Linked DNA regions of Yarrowia lipolytica. The protein of the gene in region 3 purifies or fractionates together with the protein of the main gene of each other region. This does not show direct contact. Links are inferred from orthologs where the notes say so. Each region holds a gene or a part of one and is shown on either strand. Other genes may lie near its edges. The genes, in order: YALI1_B23061g, YALI1_E19082g and YALI1_F35907g.

What was found.
Region 1: the proteins of YALI1_F35907g (region 3) and YALI1_B23061g purify together in Saccharomyces cerevisiae (affinity purification with western blotting; 3 studies listed by BioGRID, with this or other methods). This does not show direct contact. The link is inferred for Yarrowia lipolytica from reciprocal best matches to the Saccharomyces cerevisiae genes DPB2 and SLD5.
Region 2: the proteins of YALI1_F35907g (region 3) and YALI1_E19082g purify together in Saccharomyces cerevisiae (affinity purification with western blotting; 3 studies listed by BioGRID). This does not show direct contact. The link is inferred for Yarrowia lipolytica from reciprocal best matches to the Saccharomyces cerevisiae genes DPB2 and PSF2.

Annotation. Positions count from the first base shown.
Region 1 is NC_090771.1:2,304,970-2,307,422, reverse strand, and holds YALI1_B23061g (uncharacterized protein), read right to left. Parts: upstream 1,305-2,453; coding exon 522-1,304; downstream 1-521. Other genes in the region: YALI1_B23055g (uncharacterized protein), read left to right, coding at 1,920-2,453. UniProt on the Saccharomyces cerevisiae protein: Required for DNA replication. Functions as part of the GINS complex which plays an essential role in the initiation of DNA replication by binding to DNA replication origins and facilitating the assembly of the DNA replication machinery.
Region 2 is NC_090774.1:1,907,210-1,909,561, reverse strand, and holds YALI1_E19082g (uncharacterized protein), read right to left. Parts: upstream 1,354-2,352; coding exon 586-1,353; downstream 1-585. Other genes in the region: YALI1_E19098g (uncharacterized protein), read left to right, coding at 1-264; YALI1_E19070g (uncharacterized protein), read right to left, coding at 2,274-2,352. UniProt on the Saccharomyces cerevisiae protein: Functions as part of the GINS complex which plays an essential role in the initiation of DNA replication by binding to DNA replication origins and facilitating the assembly of the DNA replication machinery.
Region 3 is NC_090775.1:3,589,444-3,593,208, reverse strand, and holds YALI1_F35907g (uncharacterized protein), read right to left. Parts: upstream 2,443-3,765; coding exon 484-2,442; downstream 1-483. Other genes in the region: YALI1_F35894g (uncharacterized protein), read left to right, coding at 3,596-3,752. UniProt on the Saccharomyces cerevisiae protein: As accessory component of the DNA polymerase epsilon complex participates in chromosomal DNA replication.

The DNA.
Region 1 (2,453 bases), on a different chromosome or scaffold from region 3:
CGAAATAATGACCTTTGGTTTGATAGTCTTGTCTTTATAGGTGAGATTCTGTGATGCATGGTATTTTACTTGGGTTAAGTGGTAACTAAGGCGCAATTTGCCCAAGACCAAGTCCAATGCGACCAATACCGTTACCTGGAAGCACTAAGGGTTAATGATGATATGCATTTTACAATTAGATGTCTCTATTTATGGTAAGCATCTGTATGTACAGCTTCCAGGTCGCCCGCGCAGGGTCTCCATGGTGAGTTAGATACATGCTAAACGTCTCGACCACGTTGAAGTGTCTTGCTTTTTAAGGCTTCGTCGAGTAACTGATGATACAGACAAGGCAAGTGGGCGATTGTCATATTTTAGCTGCTTGAGCTCTTGACACACAATCGTCGGTATGTACGGGTGTCAATAACGTAGCATGCGAGCGTCAACTTCACAAAATAACTAACAGCCCACAGCTTGCGTGTCTCAGCATTAGTTCCATGAACTCCCCCGTCGAGTTGTTTCACCTCATTTTCCTTCTCTCATCAAATGAAAACAACATCACCACTCTCAACATACTTCACGATGATGGAGTACTTGATGACGACGATACTACCCTTTCGCAGCTTGACTGAATCGTTTCCAATGATAATCTTTCGTCCTGTATCCTTGACTACTCGCACAAACACTGGATGGTCCATGTTGGGCTCCTGAACCATGCTTGCACTTCCTGAAGAGTCGTTCATCTGTTTGAGACTGTCTGGGAACGTGTTCATAAACTGATGCGCGTACAGATTCTTCAACAGCGCATAGTGCCGGTTGAGATACATTCTCTCTGTTTGAGACATGTTCATTCTGTCCAAGGGGGAAGACTGGTAGTACTCCATGCTGTTATCGATCTTAAGCAGTCGCACGCGCAGATACGACCGGATCAGGTACTTGATACGCTCCAGCTCCGTCTCCACAATCAGCAGTTCCAGCTTCACGTCTGTGTCCGGACTCATGTCTATCGACTTCTCCTCAATCACCTCGATCTGAAGCTGCACACGTTTGAGAATCCGGAACAACAGCGCCTCCTTCGTCGGAAGAAGCGTTGGTGACATTCGCTCAGTCACCCATGAATGTGTCAACTCTTTGATATCAGCCTCCTTCTCTTCCAAAGTACCTAGTGGGTCGTGTGGTCGCACGTTGTTGATCAGATCATCAATATCGTCCGTTTCATCCATGCTCAGACCCGCTGGATCAGATGTGTGCGGCGGTGAGTGGAACGACGAGTCGAGCCCGCTGTGAATGTCCATGCCTTCCAAGTCCAAGTTGTCCTCCTCCATTTTTGATATCGTTGTGTTGTGTGCGTGACGAATTTTTGATGTGCTCTAATTAAGTTGACGCGTCGTGCAGGTCCTGATGTGCGTGTCTAAGCAGGAATCGCTGTGGAAGTACCCAGTAGCCGGTAGCTACCTGGTACATCAATCGTAGCTATATATATGTACCTTGGTTTCGTGTAAAGCTCAAGAAATTGCTAAAAATTATATTACTAAGGTCTCAAACGCCCAAGGTGATGGTTACACTAAGGTTCTCACACGGCGGCTAAATGGCGGGTATTTTTACAACATCTAAACTAAGGTAGCTCTGCTACGCTGTTATTCTGGATCTCCCCAAAAAGATTTTTCCGAAATACTTCTCGTTGATGATGTGACGTGAACGCTGTTTCGTTTCTTCAGTTGTAATTTATATTCCCAATTCTCCTACGTAGCCTCACAAACCCGTGCCACCCCAACGTCTATTTTGTTAAGACATCCTCACTAGATATTCTAAATCCACTTGACTGTTGCAGTGCATCACAACTGCACCCTTTATTCACTGCACACCGCTACACGAACACGAACACGAACAGCTAACATCACACACACTAGTGCTTGCAAACGCTCACAAATAGCCTGGAAATGAGCTCGAGCAGACGCAGCGAGATCGAGGCCAAAAGGGCCAGAATCGCAGAGATGCGAAAGGCCAGAGAAGCTCTTCAACAGCAGGAGGTGAGTCTCAACAAACACACAAACACAGCCAGGGGGAACCTACTAACACAGGCACAAAGAGCAGCACCCTCTAAAGAGGATATCGACCAGCTGGTAGACTCATTGGTGACTACTCGAATTGACGACACCCCAGGATCTTTTTCCATAGTCATTGCTGATGCCTTTGATCAAGTTCCTGTGGTTCAGGGTCCTGATACATCAGCCACTTCCAACACAGCATCAGCGTCAGCTTCAACTTCTACAGCCGCTGCGATTACAACTCGGACAACATCACCGCCACTCTGCTACTCAAAGGGGGTCCAGACCGACCCCATTGATGACGATATTGATCTCGACAGCGACGAAACAGCAGCAGACGCGTCCAGACCAGACTCTGGGACACAGGATGAGGAGCCCAGCATTTCTAGTTACCCGGCCCAGGTTTCAATTCCGCCTCCAGATGAC
Region 2 (2,352 bases), on a different chromosome or scaffold from region 3:
GTCACGGCCCGATCTCGTGTGGTGGGGGGCCAGGAGCCGTCGCTGCTGGAGCTGCTTCAGAACATCAACCAGAACGAGATCAGCTCCATGAGTGTGACTCTCAATGGCTCCGCACGAGTGGTGGAGGACCTGGCCGAGGCCCAAAAGTACCTTGCTAAACACGAGAAGGCCAACCCCGACGCCAAGCAGTTCATTGAGAACCAGGAGATTGCCCTTCTGCTCGTCACCTTCAAGGAGGTCAAGGTTACCGAAGTTGATGTTTAGTTGTGCCACAAGAGCAAGAGCGACAAGAACAACCAGCAACCACCACCAAGTAACGCCAATTCCATTTCTTCTGATGATATTGTGGGTGCTGGTAGATTCAATGCATGCTAAGTCATTGCAGTCTCCAAACCTACAAGGTTCCGTAAATTCTTGTACGATACAGTACATACTCGTACCCTGTACTTGTAACAACATGTACAGTACGTAGCTTATCATTAGTCGTGGCTTGCCCCTCAATACTTCAATTTGGTCGGTTTCGATTACAATAAATATATTCATTAGTGTACATGTTGGAAGATGTGTTCTTGTATCTGAGAAACATCACCATTCGGGGCCGCCTTGTTGCGGCACATTATCATCCCACTGAGACAACTCTCGTCTTCTTTCCGAAGTGTCCACTCGGTCTCCATATCGCAACGAAGAGTCCAGTTGAGATGAAGGCACAGCCAACGAAGACTCGTCGTCATGTCCATAAGTAGGCTCATCATCCTCGTCGTCCTCGGGGTTGTCACTTTCCGAATAGATTATGGGCTCCTCCTTCTTGCCGGCCTTGCGGATCTTGATCATTTCCTCCATGCCTTCTACCACAAACGGTCTCATTTCGTTGATCTCCAGAGCCCCCAGTCGGTCCATCTGCAGCATGTTTTCGTTGACCTCCTTCATACCCTGTCGACTTTTTTGCTCCCGCACCTCTCGGATATCTCGCACGAGGTTTCGGATCACCTGTGGCGGCGAGGTGAGGTCGTCTGGAGCGGTGGTGAGCACAATCTGGGCGATTTCCAGCCAGTGGAAATCCACGTTGGAGAACGCGGTGGGGTTGGCATGCTCAAAAGCCAAGATCCGCCGCAAATTGCTTTCCTCCATCCAGTCCGGGGGCACGAACTGACACCGCTGCTGTTTCTTGAGCGCGATGGCCATCCAGATGGGGACTCTGTTCTTTCGAAGAGGATGCATGAGAGGCAGATCTGTGCCTGCCAGCTTGATGGGGTTGCCGACTCGTCGCGGCAGGATCTCGATGGTCTCATTCTCCGCCATGAAATGCAGCTCCGACGGCAGGAAGGTCTCCAGCTGTTCCGCTGGCACCGACATTTTTTCTTCTTCTTGCTGGTTGGTGTGCGACGATGGCTAATCTAATCACTTCACGCGTTTCCGTTGAAATTATCCTGCATATATGATGCATGATGAAAGATTGTGGGTTCGATTACGAGGCGTATAATATTACCGAGAGAATTAAATTGGAGATACGACCACGAATACTCGGCGTGTCATGGGATAGTGACGGTTTTTGGTGGCAAATGGTCATGCAAGTTTTGATGTTTTTATGAAGAGATAGCTTCTGGTAGCTCTATTCCAAATGTCTATGAAGTCACAACCCGTATTCTTGGAGACCCCTTGGGGGCAAATGTCGAGAATACGACCGTTCTGAAGGCGCCCTTGCTTCGGTATTTAGGACCTCAAACACCAGCGTTCCCCAGACTCGTGTCAGGTCCATTCACTTATGCTCAGGTACTCATAGCAGTTCTCCTGGTCTGAAAGGATGCCGATCATCGGCTCTACAGTACCTCTTCCATCTCGGGGTGGTGCGCACAAGACGGCATGTCATAGATATTCTTTTACCGCGTCACGAGCATGTGTTTCGATCTGATCATGAACATTTTCATCAACGGCATGGACTTGATGGTCGTCGGTAAGGGAATCCCGTGGAAAGCTATTACAAATACTCGTGTCTGGCAGGGGTCGAATCGTCATCTGAACCACCAAGTGAACGATAACAATTGTCTGTAGTCCTCTGACACCGTCTGTAATCCTCTGACACCCCACCTCCGATTTGATGCCTTCACATGCTGGCCGACGAAGATAGAGTGTGAGACATTTAGTGAGAGCAAAGCAAGTACTTGTAGCGATAGAGCTCTCGGATGTCTGCGCACCAGCCGGATGTCTGCGCACCAGCCGGATGTCTGCGCACCAGCCGGGATGGTTTGAGTCATGAGTCATTAGTCATTAGATTGCTAGTTTCCGGGAGAACCACAGTCGGTCTTGCGCCAAACTCCAAACTCCGATCGCGACCAAGTCTTGGATTTGGTCATC
Region 3 (3,765 bases):
CAGGGTTTTTCATTTTTGATTTCTGGGATGTTTTTTTATTTTTTATTTTTTATTTTTAATCTTTGGATGTATTACACACTTTTTGTTTATCCTAATGATCCATTTTTCTTTTCTCGTTTTTTCTTTTTTATATTTTTTTTAACTAATGATTCATTACAGCTCAATTTTTTTTTATTCTGATGATTCATTACTCAATTTTTTTATTCTAATCAGCTGACTAATCAAATGTACGGTATTCTACGTCCAATTTTCTTTTTTCAATATCGTTAAACATGCCTGGCTAGCTCAATCGGTAGAGCGTGAGACTCTTATTCTTAGGTGTCATCTCAAGGCTGTGGGTTCAAGCCCCACGTCGGGCTTTTTTAGTCTCCATTCTTCATTTGATTACTAATAATAATCATAAGACTGCGTATGATAAGGCAATAATATCGCTTCAAACGCAACAAAGGCTCATTTTTCTAATATTGGGTCATGAATTACTGTCTAAATATGCAACTGTCGCTCCTTGACTGTCTTCTTGGAAGGATCATACTCAACCCAGCTGGCGATCTTTCTGTTCAGGAAGGGGCCAGGGTTGACCACCATACACTCCTCGTACCTGAGAGAGAACTTCGGAGCATGTGTGTCAACCATAAACAGGATCGTAGGCAGTGGACTGAGCCATAGAGTTTCGTCGTAGTCCCAGGCAACAGGTCTGTCGTGTCTGTTGAAGGGAGACAAGTGACCCTGATCACAAATGGTTCGCACAATCTTGCGAGACTCCACCTCCTTGGCTGAAAGAGTGTTGGTAGGACCCACTTGGCTGGCCATAGGAGTGCTGATATCCACTGGTCGAGTGAGGTTGCTGAGCCCCTCTCCAAAGTCGAAGGACGATTCGGGCTCGTTGACTACAACGTCGTTGATCATTACTTCATCGTTGTCAATCTCAATGTCATCATCCGAATCGTCCGAATCGTCCTTGGCAGAATCAAGTTGAAGGTTGCACTTTCGCAGACGCTCACTGAGTCCATCTCGGTAGAAGACCATATCCTGTGTAAGATAAGCCATTCTACAGGGGTTGGAGCTCATTGAAACATCCTCTCCACATAGTCTGGCGACTCTGTTAATCATGGTGGTTGGAAGAGGTTGCAGAGGAACAACTGCATTCTGTGTCGGGAAAGTGTTAGTCCAAGGATCCCGTTGGCCAGGAACAAAAATAATCTTGACACCAGTGATAATGCTGCTGAACTCCTTGAAAAGCTCCTCCAACTTGTCGAACCCCTTTTTGTACAAATGCGGTGGCTGGTACTGACTAGTGAAGTCTCCTGAGAACACCATGGCTAGAGGCTTCTTGGTTCCAGAGTCCTGAAACTCAAGCTCAATGGTCGAAAACACTTTCTGTAGAGCCTTGAGAGTCAAAGGATTGTCCAAATACATATCTCCACCAAACACAATCACTTTCTGATCTACCAAGCGTTTCTCTTCGGCAAGCATTGATGCTTCCACCTGCCGTTCAATTCGTCTCACCACAGAACCATGGGGGTTTCCATGCAGTCCCAGATAGTCCATGTTTCCGTATGCTGTGATGGTCTCCTGTCGTTTCTCGGCCACAGGAGGGCCCATGGTGATGACCACAAACACTTCGGCGTCTCCTGACTTCATGTATCGACCGTTACAGATGACAAAGGAGCCTTCAGGATAGTATACTCCTGGATCAGGCTTGCAACCAGCTGCTAGGATCAGCAGAATACGACCAGTGTCGTCCTGCAAACAAATCTTCTGCTCCGGATTCTTGGAAAGCATTCCGAAGATGGAAAACTCGCCCTGTCGACCAATAAGAGATCGGATCGATGTGATTTTCAGGTCTGTGGTGTCGTCATTGCGCAATAGACGGTTGTAGACCAGATGGTAACGAGTCAGAAACATGTTAGAGGCAGATTGGGCATTGGCGAACAATGTGGGTTTTGTTTTCCGCTTCTCAAACCGTTGCTGGCGGGCATTATAATGGAAAAGAGGCTGATCAAAAGCACTAATCACCTTGAAGAACTCCTTCCACACAACGTCCACAGAAGGAGCTGCTTCTCTGATGACGTTCACCTGTGGCTCTCCTTCCCGATCCTCGATTTCCTCCACTCCAGTCAATCCCACGCTCTTGGAAACCACCTGGACTCGTGCCTTTTCCTTGGCCTTCTTGCTGGCTGTGATCTCATCGAACAGTTCCTGCAGCGGCTTGCCCTCCACAAAAACACCCATCTCCTGCTCCTTCCACAGTCGACAAATCTCCTCCATCATTTTGGCAGCCTCGGCCCCTCGCCATTCGGTTCCGTAGTTTTTGCCTATGATTTCGGTGAGTGTTTCGAGACCTGTTGATTTCAAGTTGAGGCCGTGCTTCTTGGAGAAGATCCGGTACGCCACGGGCCGCATTTGCGATGGATTCAGCTTTATCGGGAGGACTGCTGGCATGGTGGTGTAGCTCGTATGTTGTAGTGTGCTGAGTGTTGTGTAGCTTCGTGCTGCCCTGACGCGTTTTTTCCATTAACGAAATCATGCACGCGTCAAAACCTTGTGTGTGGATGTGTACAAATTTTTAGGAGAGGTATGTATGACCCGTGAACTTAGTATTCCCCCCACATGAGCATCAGTAGCCGTCATAATATGAACGCTTAGGCGATATTTTTTTCTCATATGAAGGTACACCCATGGTAGTTATTGCGGGGACTCGAATAGGGGATAAATTAACACCTTCGACGCCATGTACTTGTACTTGAAATTCTGGTGTTGTCGCTGTGTGTGCAGCGTGTGGGGGTGCACATTGAGAGGGACGGGTGAGTATGAGCTCATCTTCTTGTGTCGGTACAGTACATGTACTTTGTAGAGTACTTGTACACATAGTGTGATAGAGATCACATGTTATCAGCTCAGAATATTGACCGTTCTTACGCTTGCAGGGTGCACACCCCACCGTGGCTTCACAGCATACGAAGTCAGTTTAAGGAGTTTAAGACGACCCACTCAAACAATTAACAGACACGAGATAAGTACAAGTACTGTACTTGGACTTGTATAATGAGAACGAGGTGAGATTCAAAACCCCTTTTATACACAACTCATTCAATATTCGTACCTACAAGTACCCATACAAGTACCTGTACGACAATTGTCATCTTGTACTAACTCACCACCATAATTCATATACACATTCTGTATCGCACACTGCATTTCATATACTTAACAAGGTTCTCAAGGCTAACGGTAAGGAAGCGGAATAATAGGAGGGGTAGGGCTATTACAAGTACGAGAGTTATTTTCGAAATTAAAACCACACAAATCTACAAATTGGACACAGTAATATTGATCCATTGCTTTGTCCGGTCAAATTATGTCTCAAAGTCCCTCCTACAGCCCTCCGCAAACCCCCCATCCGGGTATCGACCGGGTCGACCCTAGCCGACATATCCACGGCATCTCTAGTTCCGAAAGTATCACGCAAGTTTAAATATATATAATCCGGGCAGTAGACCAATATTTCAGTGTGTCGATGCTAGGGAATTGATGGAAAAGAGAAACGGCTGGGAATACGACTGAAACCCACTGAGGACGAGCCCCCGCGGCGCAAATGTCCACATCGCCAACATTGAACCTGGACATCGAAAGTAGATTGTTCGACATCTGTTCACCACTGCACTTCAACAAACGACTTTTTCCATGGAAGAGACAACACCACAGAGGGAGATATTATATGATATCCGCTGTGATACCTATTTGTGATACAGGTGGTTAGTTATT